Linked DNA regions of Elephas maximus indicus. The protein of the gene in region 1 interacts with the protein of each later gene in a biochemical or structural test. Links are inferred from orthologs where the notes say so. Each region holds a gene or a part of one and is shown on either strand. Other genes may lie near its edges.

The links. The genes of interacting proteins can lie anywhere in the genome.
Region 2: the proteins of SMARCA5 (region 1) and POLE3 form a complex in vitro, tested with the Homo sapiens proteins (2 studies listed by BioGRID). The link is inferred for Elephas maximus indicus from reciprocal best matches to the Homo sapiens genes SMARCA5 and POLE3.

The regions. Positions count from the first base shown.
Region 1 is NC_064831.1:41,246,765-41,254,603, reverse strand, and holds the start of SMARCA5 (SWI/SNF-related matrix-associated actin-dependent regulator of chromatin subfamily A member 5), read left to right. Parts: upstream 1-4,828; 5' UTR 4,829-5,275; coding exon 5,276-5,452; intron 5,453-7,839. UniProt on the Homo sapiens protein: ATPase that possesses intrinsic ATP-dependent nucleosome-remodeling activity.
Region 2 is NC_064827.1:62,659,300-62,666,979, forward strand, and holds POLE3 (DNA polymerase epsilon subunit 3), read right to left. Parts: upstream 3,007-7,680; 5' UTR 2,876-3,006; coding exon 2,810-2,875; intron 2,711-2,809; coding exon 2,625-2,710; intron 2,255-2,624; coding exon 2,136-2,254; intron 1,850-2,135; coding exon 1,677-1,849; 3' UTR 305-1,676; downstream 1-304. Other genes in the region: C9H9orf43 (uncharacterized protein C9orf43 homolog), read left to right, coding at 5,619-5,769, 5,877-6,020. UniProt on the Homo sapiens protein: Accessory component of the DNA polymerase epsilon complex. Participates in DNA repair and in chromosomal DNA replication.

The sequences.
Region 1 (7,839 bases):
CGAAAGTCGACCATCTTTTGCTCCCAGCCATTGGAAGCTGCTGGCCTACAGTGGTTCTCATTCTTACAGAAAGGCCACTCCTTTTCATGAATTTAGAAATCCAGGTGAAACCTGCCTTGAAATCTGGGATTCTTTTTCATTTGCCGGAAGATTTGCTTTGATCTGAATTGTGACAGTAGAGACAGATTGATTTTGTTCCCTTTGAGAAACGATCCACTTTCAAGTTATTCTCCAACTCAGGCCATTTCGTGTTGGGACCACTATGTGCATGTTTTTGAGGATTCATTTTCTCCAGCTTCTTTCATTGATCAAAGACATTGGTGCCAGTAAGACTATGGGTAGCGGTTAAAGTGCTCAACTGCTAACCAAAAGGTTGGCAGTTTGAAACCATCAAGTGGCTCCATGGGAGAAAGGTGTGGCAGTCCGTTTCTGTAAAGATTTACAACCTTGGAAACCCTATGGGGTCACTATGAGTAGGAATTGACTTGATGGCAGTGAGTCGGTTTTTAGCGTAGCTTAACGGTTTCACTTAAGATGATCTGAGAATGTTTTGCATTCAACGGTAGAGCCAAGAGTGATCATGTATCAGTTTTGCTTTGTTTACTCCTCCAGTTAAAAGCCAGAGTCCGAAGAGGACTGTGATAATTATGTCAATGCAGATTGAATCAAGGTTACTATTGATAGCTACTCGATGCTATTTATGCCAGTGCAGGTGCAGGCTTTGTTTAACCTTCCAACTGATAAAAACATAAAACATCCAAACCCATCGCCTTCAAGTCAATTTTGAACTCATGGAGATCTTATACGACAAGGTGGAACTGTCCATAGGGTTTCCAAGGAGCAGCTGGTGGATTCAAACTGCCGACCTTCTGTTTAGCAGCCATAGCTAGTCACCACTGCACCACCAGGGCTCCTCCAATTGATTGCATGTGATTTATGGATAGGCTTCAATTCAGTAGGTTCAAGGTTCAGACTGATGACTCAAAGTGATGGGGATATAATTATCAACTTAATATAAACAAATGCAGTTTCAATTATTTATTTTCCAATTACCGAGGTACTACCAAACTTGACTGATGACTTCTTGACCACGGCTTATATTTTTATTATACAAATATGATCAAAAGTAACATTCTTGGACTACTGAATGAAGAAGAAGGTCGAAATTCACTTCTGGAAAGGCCACGAGACTTGTGTGTTAAGCCAGAACTTTTAAACATAATTTCATCATTTCTGTGTTTTATATATGTATGCATGTTGTTTACATGGATGCACTGTTTAAGAAAAAATATGGTATTCTCTAGAATTTTCTCCAACAAGATTTTTATGCAGCTTCCATATGCTCATATTAGAAACTCACAGAATAAATGCAATGTTAAAAGACAATTGCCATTTTGGGGGGCAATATTATTTATCATGCTCCCTGCTATTTGTTGCTTTCCTTAAATAGTGAGCTGACTTAAGATCCTTCTACTTATATACTTAAGAATAATTTTAGAGATTTTTTTCCTAAGACTGTAGACTGAATAACTATTCTGAATATAAAATAAATATTATTTCTACTAAATACTATTTCTACTTTAGAATGTAAATATTAAATAAGTATTTACTCAATAAATATTTATTAAATGTCTTTATATTAAGTATCACTCTAGACACTACCTCCTTACCTTTTCTCGCCATCTTTTTGGGGAGAAAGAACATTGTTTAAAAGTGAGTTTTCTCAATACAATAATGATGATGTTTATTTTTTAAAAAAACTGGAAAATACTAACGAGCATATATTCTTAGATATTTCTTTATAGACTCAGAAATGGTATTTCTGATGAGTTGGGGACATTTTTCCAGACCTCAATTAAAGTATTATCATTTCATTAGTTCAAAAGTTTGCAGGATACATGTTCAAAGGATATCCCTTCTGTTTGAAATTCAACATAATCAACCATTTGGATCAATCTTAACACTTTTTTAAATTTTATTTATTTATTTTGTTGTTGTTGAGAATACACACAGCAAAACTTACACCAATTCAACAGTTTCTATGTGTACAATTCAGTGACGTTGACTACATTCTTTGGGTTGTGCAACCATTCTTACCTCCTTTTCTGAGTTATTCCTCCCCCATTAACTTAAATGCATTGCCCTTTGATGTTCCTATAGATAGAATCCTTCGAGTTGCTATTGTCAGTTTGGTCCCATATAGATAGCTCTTAAAAGGGCATAATGGTCAATAAGAGATTTTTTTTTTTATCATTTAAGCTAAACTTTTTTTTTTTTTTTTTGGTTTTAAGAAGATTTCAGGGGATATTTTTGGTTTAAGATTTAAAGATTATCTCAAGGCAATAGTTTCAGGAATTCACCCAGCCTCCATGGCTCCAGAGTCTGGAGTCTATGAAAATTTGAAATTCTGTTCTGCATTTCCCCCCTTTTGATCAGGATTCTTCTTTTTGATCTTTGATCATAATGTTCAGTAATGGTAGCTGGGCACCATCCAGTTCTCTTGGTCTCATGGCAAAGGAGGCAGTTTTTCATGAGGCAATTAGCCACACATTCCACTTCTTCCTCCTATGCCTGACTCTCCTTTTTGCTTTGTTGCTCCAGGCAAATAGAACATAAAAACCTGAAACCAAACCCATTGCCATGGAGTGAATTCTGGCTCATAGCGACCCTACAGGACAGAGTAGAACTGCCTCATAGGATTTCCAAGCAGTGGCTAGTGGATTCGAACTGCTGACCTTTTGGTTAGCAATAGTAGCTGTTAACCACTGAGCTCAAAATTGAACACAGATGTAAATCAAAACTACAGTGAGATACCATTTCACTCCAACTAGAATGGCTAAGATAAACAAAACGCAACACAAAATAACAAATGTTGGCCAGGATGTGGGGAAATTGGAACCCTTATACATTACTGAGAGGAATTCAAAATGGAGCAGCTGTTGTGGGAAACAGTGTGGTGTTTTCTTCAAAAAACTAAAAACAGAACTACCATATGACCAGCAATTCCACTCCTAGGTATATATTCAAAAGACTTGTAAGTAGAGACTGAGACTTGTACACCAATGTTCATTGCACCACTAGTCACAATAGCCAAAAGGTGGAAACAACCTAAACGCCCATCAACAAATGAATGGATAACCAACGTGGTACATATATACAATGGAATGGCACTCAACCAGTAGAGGAAACGAAGTCTTGATACTTGCTACTATATGACTGGAGCTTGAAAACATTACACTGAGTGAAATAAGTCAATCACCAAAGAACAAATATTGTATGACCTCACTTAACATAAAAAGGCAAGAAAACGTAAATGTATAGAGATCAAAGTTTACTAGTTGTTACCAGGGACTGGAAGGAAGGAGAAAAGGGGGAGGGCAGTTTACCACGATGAAAAAATGGCGTAGATTAACAGTAGAGTTACACAACGGGTTACTGTAAGTGCTGTCAGTAAGTTGTACATGTGTAAAAAGTTGAAATGGAAAAAGTTGTGCGATAGACATATAAAAATAACACACACACACAAAGAGTACCTGTTAAGGCTGCATAGGTACAACCAAATGCCTCAAGGGTTTTGGTTTGCAAGTTTAGAGTGATGGTATCATGAACATTTCAGTTAACTAGCCTATTAGCATGTTCAGTGCTTCTGCTCTACTTCCTAGTTCTTTGGGCGGTTCCTGGGGTCTTAAAAGCTTGCGAGCAGCCATCAGCCTTAACTCTTGAATAAATGTTTACAGAATAAGGTACATGGGAATACAAAAATGAATAAAACTCTGTGTAGGGAAGATAAGAACTTACTGCAAAATGCAGACTAGTTATCAAATAGTATACAACGTGCTTCAATTCTGTAATAGATGAACGCACAGAGCTTAGGTTGTTGTAGAGAGCCTAAGGCAGTCTACAAAAAAATAAAAAGTTGATTTTTTGTTAACACACATTTTTAAGGAGAAAGCACATTCTAACTTTATGCTTGGTAGTCGAGGGAAAGATTCAACCCGTACCTCTCTTTTCCTGTCTATTGATTAATCATGTTTCACTCACACCGTAGCGTGCGCGCCAATTTGCTTTTAGCATAGAAATTAGTAATAACTCTACATTGAAGGGAAGTAAAACGTATTTTTAAATTATTGATGTACCCACCAAAACCAAAAACCAAACCCAGTGCCGTCGAATAGATTCCGACTCATAGCGACCCTATAGGACAGAGTAGAACTGCCCCATAGAGTTCTCTAGGAGCGCCTGGCGGATTTGAACTGCCGACCTTTAGGTTAGCTGCCGTACCACTTAACCACTACACCACCAGGGTTTCCACTGATGTACCCAGTAAGTGAAAATTAACTATAAAAATCACAGTAAGGGACATTTTGCTGGAGAGAACAAAATAAGGAAGACTTCACTATGGATAACGACGGCGTTACGTCAACGCTGTGGCGTCACGCCTATAGATACAGGCGGCACAAGTATTAAGACCCAGCATAGGCCGCCACGTTTCAGTTCCCCGTGCTAAATCTGAGCAAGTTTTCAGGAAATGCAGCTGACCTCTGCCAGGCCAATAAGATAAGAGAGTCAAGGCCGGGGAGCCGTTATGAACGCGCATAGGGCTGCACTCGCGTCAGGCCAAAGAGCCAAGGGAAGCCTACGTAAGTGTCAGACGTCTCCAGGCAGCGCTCGTCTCCCTCGAGGCCCCACCCACTCCTCTCTCCAGAGCCCCCCACCCACTCGCTCTCCAGAGGCCGCTGGGGGCCCGGGTGATGCGGGAGGCGAGTGAGGGGAGAAGGAAGCGCATGCGCTCTCGGGTTCCAGGCAGCCAACCCGCTATCTCGCGAGAGTTGGAAGTCGGTGGCGTAGGTAGTTGTCCGAGTTGCTGGCGACATAGATGATATCTGACGGTGGAAGAAGAGGAGGAGGCGAAGCTAGGTCCTCACCTCAGTCTCTCTTTCGCTTTCCTTTCCCTCCCCCTAACCCTCCACCCTCCTCTAAATCGGCCTGCTTCCCCTGACCTCGGTGACCCGGCTGGCCCCGCCCACTCTCGTCGACGTGATTCCCGCCGTGAGGTAAGCAGCGGGTCGAACCCGGAGCTGCGCGGAGGAGGAGACCTACGACCAGGAGGAGGAGGCTGCTGGGTCCCGCTCAGGCCGTCACGGAGCCGCGGTGCCGGGGAGAACTCAGGGAGTCCTCTCGCCGGTCCATCAGCTCCTTCCCCAGGTCTAGGCCTCTTCCTCCATCCCTGCGGGACCCAGCCCCTGGCAGCAGCGGCTGACGCAGCCGGAACATCATGTCGTCCGCAGCCGAGCCTCCGCCACCCCCGCCTCCCGAGAGCGCGCCTTCCAAACCCGCAGCCTTTGCTACCAGCGGCGGGAGTAACAGCAGCAACAAAGGCGGACCGGAGGGCGTCGTGTCCCAGGCGGCCTCCTCTGCAGCCTGCGCCGGCCCCGCCAACGCCGAGATGGAGGTGAGGGACCTGAGCGCGGCGTGTGGCGCGGGGAGAGGAGAAGCTGGTTCCCTCCCCCTGACTTGAGGGCTCAGACGCGGAGCCCTGCTTCACCCCTCAGCACCAAACTCGGGCTCGGGCTCGGGCTCGTTGGATCCAAACGATGCTCTCGTCTATGCGCCTTCGTGCTTATCCTGTCTAGACTCAAATGGATTCCGAACAGTTTGCATGTAAATTATCTGCTTCTTTAGCAAATCTTGCCAAATATTCGGTGGCTCTTACTAAACAGATGTTCTTGATTACTGTGGCCGGGTGGGAGCTCCCCGTTTCTTTTCACTGGACTCCCATAATTCCCTCTCCAATTTGTGCGAATCTCGGTTTTAGTTTTCTCTGAGCTTGGGGGAGGGGTGAGGGATGTGCCGTTTGGGAGTGAGGGACAGACTGTCGCGGAGAGGGAGGCCGCGCATCCGAGGACTCGGGCCGCCTTTTCTTCCTCCGGGTCCTTGTGGGGCGGTATCTGTTCTGGGCACAAACAATGGCGAGAGCTGGATGGCCGAATGCGCAGTGGGGATAAGCGGGCGCAGCTGCTCTGGTGAAGGGACGAGAGGCCCCTCCCAGACACTGTTCCACTGGGAGGGTAGCGGCCAAGGCCACGGCAGATGTCCCAGACCCCCATTTAATTTGGGGGGAATGGATGGATGGATGAATGAATTAGTGAATATGGGGTGGTTGGTTGGCCTTCAGTCCAGCCCAACTCGTCTTTTGTGGCCTTGGCCTTTCTTTTCTTGTAATTGATAACCGCTATCTATATTCTAATAGATACTGTCGGCTCTGGTCAGCCAGGGGGATGGCGACTGTACTGCGGGGGTGGAAAGATAAGGAGCTGCCAGGCCCGGTCTCTTGGGTATGCACCAAGGCTTCGCAATGTCTGGGAAGAAAATGATTGCTCCTTCGAATTTCAGTCTTGGTCTCCGACCTGTTTTGAGATATTTTAGTGTCGCAGTACGAGGATTTCAGGATTTTCCCCTCTTTAGATAGACGGGATGAAGGTAATACTGCTCTAGAAAGGTACCCTGATGCAGAATTAATACAATCAGGAAATAGCGCAGTTTACCAGTAAGGCATTTGCCGCAGTAGTTTTATTTGGGCATCAGAGGTCTAATTTAGGGTAAAGAAATTAACTTCATGTTATTAGTCTTTGAAAGAACTTTTAGTGGTGAGGGTAGGTTTAAGTGGAATAGGAAATCTGATATTCTGGCTTTTCCAGTGATTGAAATTTGTTTCAAGCTTAGATGTATCCAGTGTTGCGCCCTTTTTTTATTTTTTTTCCTTAAGGTTTTTTAAATGGTTCTTTTGGATTCCTGCTTAATGGCTTCAGGGGGTGTGAAAACCAGTGAAATTGAAAGCATAAGGTTGTATGTGAATGCACAATTCTGCAAAGAGATGTTTGTAGTTTTGATTAACATCTTAAAAGGGGCTGCCATTCAGCCTTTGGAATAACAACATGTAGATGTCTCCCCAGAGGTCTTATTTAAATACCAAAAAGCAGAGTAAAGCCTGAACTAAATACTTTGGTTTTCAGTTGCTATTTTTGAGTTAAATTTTAAAAATGAATGTCAACGTGATGAAGTCAGTGGTAGTTTTCATTTGCCAGATGAGGAAATCAAGTCTTTCGCTAAGTAGAACCTTTAATAGAACCCGGGTCTGGCTCCCAAACTGACCCCTTTCCCACATAGCTTGCTGTGTCATATTTTTATAAAGAAAGATATTTTGCATTTTCATTTACTGTAGATGACCTAGTGAGTTATTTTACCTTCTCAGTATTGGGATATCAGTGATTTTATCTTTTATCCATCCACCTTTTCACTGACTAGTTTTTATTTTTTTCTTCACATTACAGTGACATATTCTTTTAAAGTAAATGTACCCTTAGTCTTTTTTTTTTTTTTTAAATTTTAAATCCAAATTCAGAAGGCATGGAAGTTCACTGATAAAAACTGAGTTTGAACACACAGGTATTATATATGCGACAATCTTAACCTGTTTCACAGTTGAAAAAAGATATTTTAAAATGCGTTTTTCTTTGAATGTAGGATGTAAGGTAGATTTCTTCCAAAATCAGGACATAATGTTATACCGGTTCCTAAGGGTCTTAGCAATGGAGTTACATTTGAATTTAGGTCATTTGACCTTTTAATCTTGTACTTATAACACCTACACCAGCTTCTCCCACTCACCTTTTTTTTTTTTTTTAACATCTAGCTTCATTATAGCGTGTAGTACCAAGCACAGATTTGTACATCATTAATGAGAATTATGCTTTTACCAACTGTTCCTATGTAATTTTTTTTAATGGATGAATGGAACTTTGCAGTGTAGAAGTTGCTACTGATTTTTGTTGTTTGTGG
Region 2 (7,680 bases), on another chromosome or scaffold:
TGCAGGCACTTAAAATAATGCCGGCACACATTAGGGGCTCCAGAAATGTTGGGAATTGTTGAGAATCTAGTATGGTATAGGATCCCAGCAGTCAGTCATCAGTGAAGGTTTCTGCCGTGGCTGAAGAACAGCTTCTTTGCCTGTGAACGAGCGGCACCTCCTGGTCACCCAAGGTGATGCAGAACCCCACGTTTATAAAAGCCTGGCTCAGTAATACACCATGAATCGTATGAGGCATAATCACTGGGCCATCCTCTCCAAAAGCACACCATGAACAAGGAGAATGAAACAGAAGTCATCACTTTTAACAACAATGTTCTTTATTTATACAACGCATTATAGTTTTCTCAAGATTCTTCACTCGTCAACAAACTTTTCACTGTATTCATTTGACAAGTTAACAGTATCAAACTACATTTCACTGTCAAACTCTAAGCATTCAACTTAGAGACAAAAAGTGCTTGGAGCACTGAAGAGAAAGAGAAAAAGGCTAAGAAAGGCCAACAGAAATACTTTGGAAGCAGTTAAGGGGATGGATGGTTTGGGGGAATTATATTCCTGAGCACCATCAGATTTTGCTTAACGTTTAGAGAAGTTTTACAGAATCATTTTTAAAAGGCATGAGATTATAACTAAGGAATCAGAGGAACCTTCACTTTTATATATTAAGCAGGTTATCAATGTTTCTGAACTGACAGAAGTGAAAAAAGGAAAGAGAAAGGGTGGGAATGGGAAGCAGAGCAGAGGCAGGTAGACAGAACAAGAGAACCACAAATGGAAAAAGTTGTGCATTGAGGTTATAAAGTTTGGAACTCATCATGAATTGAAGAATGAAAAGCTGGTCTCAAGTCTGAGAGATGGACTGTGAGAGAAAGCCTGGGATTTTACACCTTCTAGGGGGGTGAAGATAAATCCTAAAGCTGTACAGTGGCAGGCAGTGAGGTGCATCTAAGACTAAGCCACCTGTTTTGTAAGAATAAGACATTGGCACCCTTGCTTGACTAATTACACTCTACGGTGCTAATTTAAAAGCATGGATGCCCAGAGTGCACCCACCCCAAGAAGTTGAATAGCTATATGCAATACACAAGACTTCTAAGTCTAGGGAGTCTGTCAAGATTCACTGTCAAGTGAAGGAACAACGGGTTTCATTTTTCTCCCACAGCTTTTTAATAGTCTCTAAAACCTAAATTGCGCTTATCACTCTTAATAAGCTAGTACTGACAAATACTGTACAATCAAATATAGGCTGATCATGATCAAAGCCCAAATTTTTCCTGAGTCTCGGCTGACTGTGATCGGGAACACAGCAGGCAGGATAAAAGTTACTACTTTCTTGGGAGGTACAGGGAGGAAGGAAGTGAGAACCAAAAACTGCCTAACCATATATATAACTAAACAAGAGAGATCAAATTGGCTCATTGAATTAGCTGCTCAGTATTCCTCTTGTCAAAAAGTCATAACCTTCAGACTAATTAAGCAAAACAAGATTCTGCTACCCAGATGCGCTGAGTCTAGGAAGTGCTAGTTTTGATAATAATTCTAGCCAGTTTTATTTCCATCTTCTCAGGTACTCCCACCTAAGACTGCTCTGCCCAGCAAGTAAAAGCTTCACATAAACGTGTATCACATATTTCAAAGTGGTACCTTCCAAGGTGCCAGTCTTCCCATCCCATTCAGTTGTCCACCTCCTCCTCCTCATTCTGGTCTTCTTCTTCCAGCCTTTCCTCATCTTCATCGTTGTCCTCATCCCTGCTCTTGTCTTGTTCTTCCGAATCTGTTTTTTTGTCTTTGTCCTTTTTCTTTTGCTCTGAAGCTTCTTTCTTGCCTTTCTGCTCCCGCCTGTATGCTATAAGGAGGAAAGAGGGGGTTAGGAGGCAGGGCTGGATGAGTGAACCAGACTCCAGCAGCTAATTCCATTCCATAGCTGGAAAAGCTGAGGCACGGAAGGAAGAATAACCTGCCCGCATCAAAAACAGATCTGAGGTGGTGCAAACTGAATGGGTGCCGAGTCACACCCAGTACTGGCTTACAGGACTTTAGGGGACCCATGCTGAAAACGCCTCAGGGCCAGGTGAGCAGGTCACACAGGATGACCATCTTCTATGTGGCTGAGAAAACGGAAGGGTCGTTACCTTCCAGAGCCTCTTTCAGCGGAGTGATGAAGCGCTGAAACTCCATCTCTTCCATTGCTGAGAGCACATCGCTAGCATTCAGCGTCTTGCGCTTCCCTTTCATGGCGAAATTGTTGGCACTGAAAGAGGAAAAGCAGAAAGGGCCTTTAGAGGCTGTCAGACCCCCTCTTGATGCCTCTGGAGCGGGCAGGAAAAGCGCACCCTGAGTTGGACTGGAAAAGCCTACCACTTAGATGCATTATTTTTGTGGGTGTCATACAGCTAAGTCCCTCCCTTACCTGTACAAAAGGACTACAGCCAAATTACTTTGTTGTTGTTGTTTCACACCCTGTAACAACTGGGTGAAAGCTGTGAACCTCTCCCCACGGAGCCAGCACACAATCATTCGGGTTTGTGGGCTCCGGGCCAAGACTCCCCAGCTAAGGGTCTCTCGGAGCCTCCCTAATGGTTCAACCCTAGCTGAGCTCTGGTTAACTCTGCCCCGCTCACCAGGACGTGGCATACAGCACGAAGACGCTTGCGGCACGGGAGATGGCGCTCCGGGCCTCCTTGGAGATATTGACGCCGTCCGGGAGCTGTGAGAGAGCGGCGGTGAGCAAAGTTGCCCACCCAGGACCTGTTTCCCTCATGCCCACTCGTCCGGCCCAGCCCACCCGCTAGCCTGGCCTGCTCACCGCCTCCTTGATGATCCTGGTGATGACGGCGTTGGGCAGATTTAGGTCCTCTGGCCTTTCTGCCATTGCCGCTGCCGAGGCCAGCGCCTCCGCCTCAGGCCTCCTCTTCAAGCCACTACGGCGTCCGGACTTCCCGCGTCGATGCGGTCTGACCCACGGAGGCTTCCGTTCCGGTCCACACGGCCCACACTGTCCCACAGTGCCCTGCGCAGCATTATCGCCCCACCCCAGCCCCGCCTCCGGTCGCCGGCGCTTCCAGAGTTTCCACGCATCAGGGGTTTTGGCCCCCTGGGGTTTCCTTCAGGCCCCACAGTGCCCGGAACTCCCCACCCCAGCCCCATTTCTCTTCTTCGTGCTACTAACACGTTCGTCGCGTTCGCTGCAAATTAAGTATGGCTCACTGGGGTTTCCGTCCGTTTCCCTTGGTGCTTCGCGCCGCTGCTGGGCGACGGCTGGGCCTGGAGGTGTGAACAGAGCTGGCTGGGCGGGGCCTGCTGACGGCCGCGCCGCGAGGAGCAACGCCCTCCCGCCTGGCTTTAAACTCTTACTGCTTTGAAGTCTCCTTTGGATCCGCGAATTGTGGCTCCCGGATGCCAGTTTCTCCCACTTCTCTTTTCCGAAACGAAGCGGGGACTCTTTCTCCAGCTCTAGCGGAGCTGATGTTCATCCTTAATTTTTTCGCTGCTGCCAACTTTGTAATGCTTATACTAATAATAGCTCATATCTAGAGTTTATTCATTGCAAGCTACCTTGCTGAGGCAACGCTAATGCTTGCGGGATTGAGATGGGTGTGGCTAGATCTCGGGGCTCAATTCTGGTTGGGCATATAACGAAAGGACCCGGAGCAGTAGGTTGTAAGAATAGCGAAACTCAGTCACATTGAAAACAAACCGTGTTAAAATTGTATTTTTTAATTCATAAAATGGTTCTCCTTACATCTTTCCGAGTCCTTCAGTTTTGTAGTAGTTTTTTAATTTGTATTTTCATATTAAACGCGTAGAAATTGTCCTCACTTCTACTTATTTTTTTCTTGAAACGTGGTCCTCTTAAGCCAGCCTTTCATTTTCCTGCCCTTAATTGAGACGTGGGTACAGAGAAATATTTCCCTATTATGAGAAAAACAGCAGAGCAAATGTGCTAATAAATGGCAACTGAAACTGCTTCGGTTAGAGGCTATAGGGTCAGGTGGGGAACACTTGGATGTAGCAGACCTAGTTTAAAGATGTCAGAAGCTAATCAGCTCCAGTCATTTCCTGTTGTGTTGGAATTAGGCCCAGTATTGTTAGATATTTTGATTTTTTAAGATGGGGCAGAAATCTGGACATCAATTCTTAAAATATTATGTCTAAAGTGCAGGCCAGACAAAACAAGTCACAGACCAGATGGAATCCCAGGGCAGTAGTTTGGTATCTCTGTCCTAAATTATAAGCTCTTTAGAACAGGGACTTTATCTTGTTCATTACTGTTCTCTGTGCCCAGGACAGTTCCCCTCAGGTACCTGGTAGTCAGTAAATACGTGTTGCATAGAAGAAAGAAGAAATAGGCACTGCCCTTACAGAGCTATTAGGGTGGTAGTGATTATCTGCAGCTTCTTTAGAGAAGGCAAGATAACATTTGGTGAGCTCCTATTACGTATTACACATAAATGTACATTATCTCATTTAATACTTTTACAGTCCTCCTTAGGGATTATTTCTCCCTACTTTATATGAGGAAACAGGTTCAGAAAGGTGAAATCACTTGCTCAAGACCGTTCAGCCAGTAAATGAGAATTAATGGCCTCTGATGTAATCACATCAAGGTTATTGGTTTGCTGTTTGACCAAACACATTCATTCCTGGTGGGTATTTTAGCTGCCTGCATGGGAATTGGCACATACTGAAAAATGAAGCATGTCTTTCAAAGAAAAAGTGGTTGCTCTTTGCGTTTTTGAGCTAAGACACTTCCGTAATTTAATTGTAATTTGATAAGGCTTTTTGGAAATGGTGGCATTTCTAATGATTATGAAGGGGAAAAGAAAAAGGATGGTAATGTTTCTTATGAACTATATGTCAGACATGGTGATCTGCTTCTGTAAAGATTACAGCCTAGAAAACCCTATGGGGCAGCTTTACTCTGTCACGTGGGATCACTGTGAGTCTGAATCAACACCACGCACTTAACATATATCAGACCTTTTAATATCTGTTAACTAATTTTTGTAATAACCCTGTGAAATAGGCTTATCCTCATTTTACAAATGAAACAGGTTAAGTCCCAGTTTACTCAGCTATCAAATGGCCAATTGCGAGACATTCTGAAGTCAATCTACTTCTAAACTGTTGACATTCTGCCTCACGCTGAGATGTTTTCATACTTGCTTCTACCAAACCCTTAATTATTCTACAAAAAAATCCGTTGCTGTCGAGTTGGTTCCGACTCATAGTGACCCTACAGGACAGAGTAGAACTCAAGGAGCGGCTCATGAATTCCATCTGCTGACCTTTTGGTTAGCGGCTGAGCTCTTAACCACTGCATCACACCAGGGCTCCAATTATCCTATGACCACCGTTTATCTATATGGGCTCAATAGAAATGTTTTATACTTTGAGTCCAAATAAAGATCTGGACTGCATGGCTAATGTATCCCAGTGCTGTTGAGTCGATTGCGACTCATAGCGACCCTATAGGACAGAGTAGCACTACCCCATAGAGTTTCCAAGGAACGCCTGCGGATGCTAATGTATAATGCACTCTTAATTATGTGGTTGTCGTTTCTCCAGAAGGCTAGAAAGCTGCAGGGTTGGCTTTTGTTCTAAGCCATTTGGCTATGGACTTGCCAGATGCGAACCAGTGGGATGAAACCACTTGTGCCTCTGCTGTTTGTCCGCATCCGCAATGCTGGGCAGCTCTTCGCAGGATTGAGAGGGGCCACCCTCGATTGCTGGGTTCACCCTGCAAAACTCCCCTGGATACTGAAGGTATATTAGCCAGCGCCTGTCTCCTTCCTCACAAGTCTTTAAAGTATTTGTTTGACCTTCTTCTCCAGGTGACATGTTACATAGTTTCTTCTGGTCTGTTTTCTCAGATAAACTCCCAGTGCTCACTATTGTAAATATCTCAGATTCCCTCCGGCCTAAGAGATGTGCTCAGCGTTGTTTATCGGGATTTACCTTTGCTAAGACTCACTCTTTGTTGTCTCGGGGTTCAAAGTTTGACTCCAAATTTCAAGGCAGGTAAATTATCATTGAATCTACTTTTAAGAGCTTACTATCTCAAAATCTGGGTTATGACTTTCCTTACCCATACAGAAGACTTTGAGAATGCTGAGTTAAAAGAAAAAAAACGCTAATTCAGTTAAAGAAGCGGTAAAAACAGAGGGGAAAACCCAAAGAAAGCATTCTTACTGTGTTCTAGGAGTTGGTTAATTTGGGGGTACCTCATCAGTATCTGTAGGTCATCAGGAAACAGTTTCCACACATACTGTCTTACCTTATAACTTTATATATAAAACTGTTTGTAAGCCCCTGAATGCAGAAGGAATGACTTTTTCTTTTGAACCTCCTGTAAAGTCTAGGTACCCAATTAGTGCTTGTTGATATTGAAGCTAAGGGATAGGAATCTGTGGAAAATTTAGACTTTCAAAATCAGAAGACCTCGTTGCCTAGAATCAAAGCACTGGTTGTGGCCCTGGAGCGGTTTATTTTCTCCTGTTCATTTAAGCAGCCTTTGATGATTTCTTTTAGGCTAAAGACAGTATAAGAGAGCCCTGGTGACATAGTGGTTAAGCACTTGGCTGCTAACCAAAAGATCAGTGATTCAAACCCACCAGCTGTTCCTTGGGTTACAGATGTGGCAGTCTGCTCCTGTAAAGATTACAGCCTTGCCCTCTTTGGGGCAATTCTGCTCTGTCCTATAGGGTCGCCATGAGTCGGAATTGACTTGATGGCAATGGATTTTGAAAGACAGTATAGGAAAGGGTAGGGCTACTTTCAGGTTCTCTAGAACTTGAAACCCTGGAAAACAGCTGTGCCTCCCAGTCAGGACCTGTGATGTGCTTCGCATAGATGCACAGGCACACAGTTCCAACCCTGCCATGCCCATGGTGTGCATGAGGGAGCTGCCTCATCCAGTTAGCTCCTGGTTTCTGTGCCTTTGTCCTTCAGCCTCTCCTGCTTTCTGATCTTACCTCTTTATCCTGAACCAGCCCCTCATTACCTCGTTTGTGGGTTTTTGCAGGGTCTTCTGAGCTGGTCTCCCTGCCTCTTCCCCTCTAAATCTTATATGCTACCAACAGATTAAGTTTCCAGAAAATATTGCTCATATCTCTTTGCTCAAAGTCCATGATTAGTGCTTCATGTACTATAGAATAATACAGCCAAATTTCCCTATTGTGGAGCTGGTAGCCTCTTTACTCTCCAGCTCCTCTCTGCTCTGATACCACCTTTAACTCTGAGCCAAACTGGCTTTCCTTTTGTACTTTTCTGTCTCTGACACTTTATTCATGCAATTTCCTCCACCTTAAAAGCTCTCTTCACTCCTCTGTTTCACTAACTCTCTGTGATAGTCTGTAAGGCCCTATAAGGTCCTGCCTTCCTCATGGACCTCATCTTGCATTCCTCCCCTCCGTATTCACCAAGGTCCAGCCGTTACTGCCCTTTCTGTTCCTCACATACTCCACACTTCTATCCCAAGACTTATGTACCTGCTGTTTCCACTGAGTGGAATGCTTTTCCCCCAGATCAGGGTTTCTTCACCTGACACTTGACATTTCGGATCAGATATTTCTTTGTTTTTTGGGGGTGCTGTCCTGTGCATTGCAGGAAGTTTAGCAGCATCCCTGGGCTCTACCCATTGGATGCCAGTAGCACCCCACCCTCAGCTGTAACAAA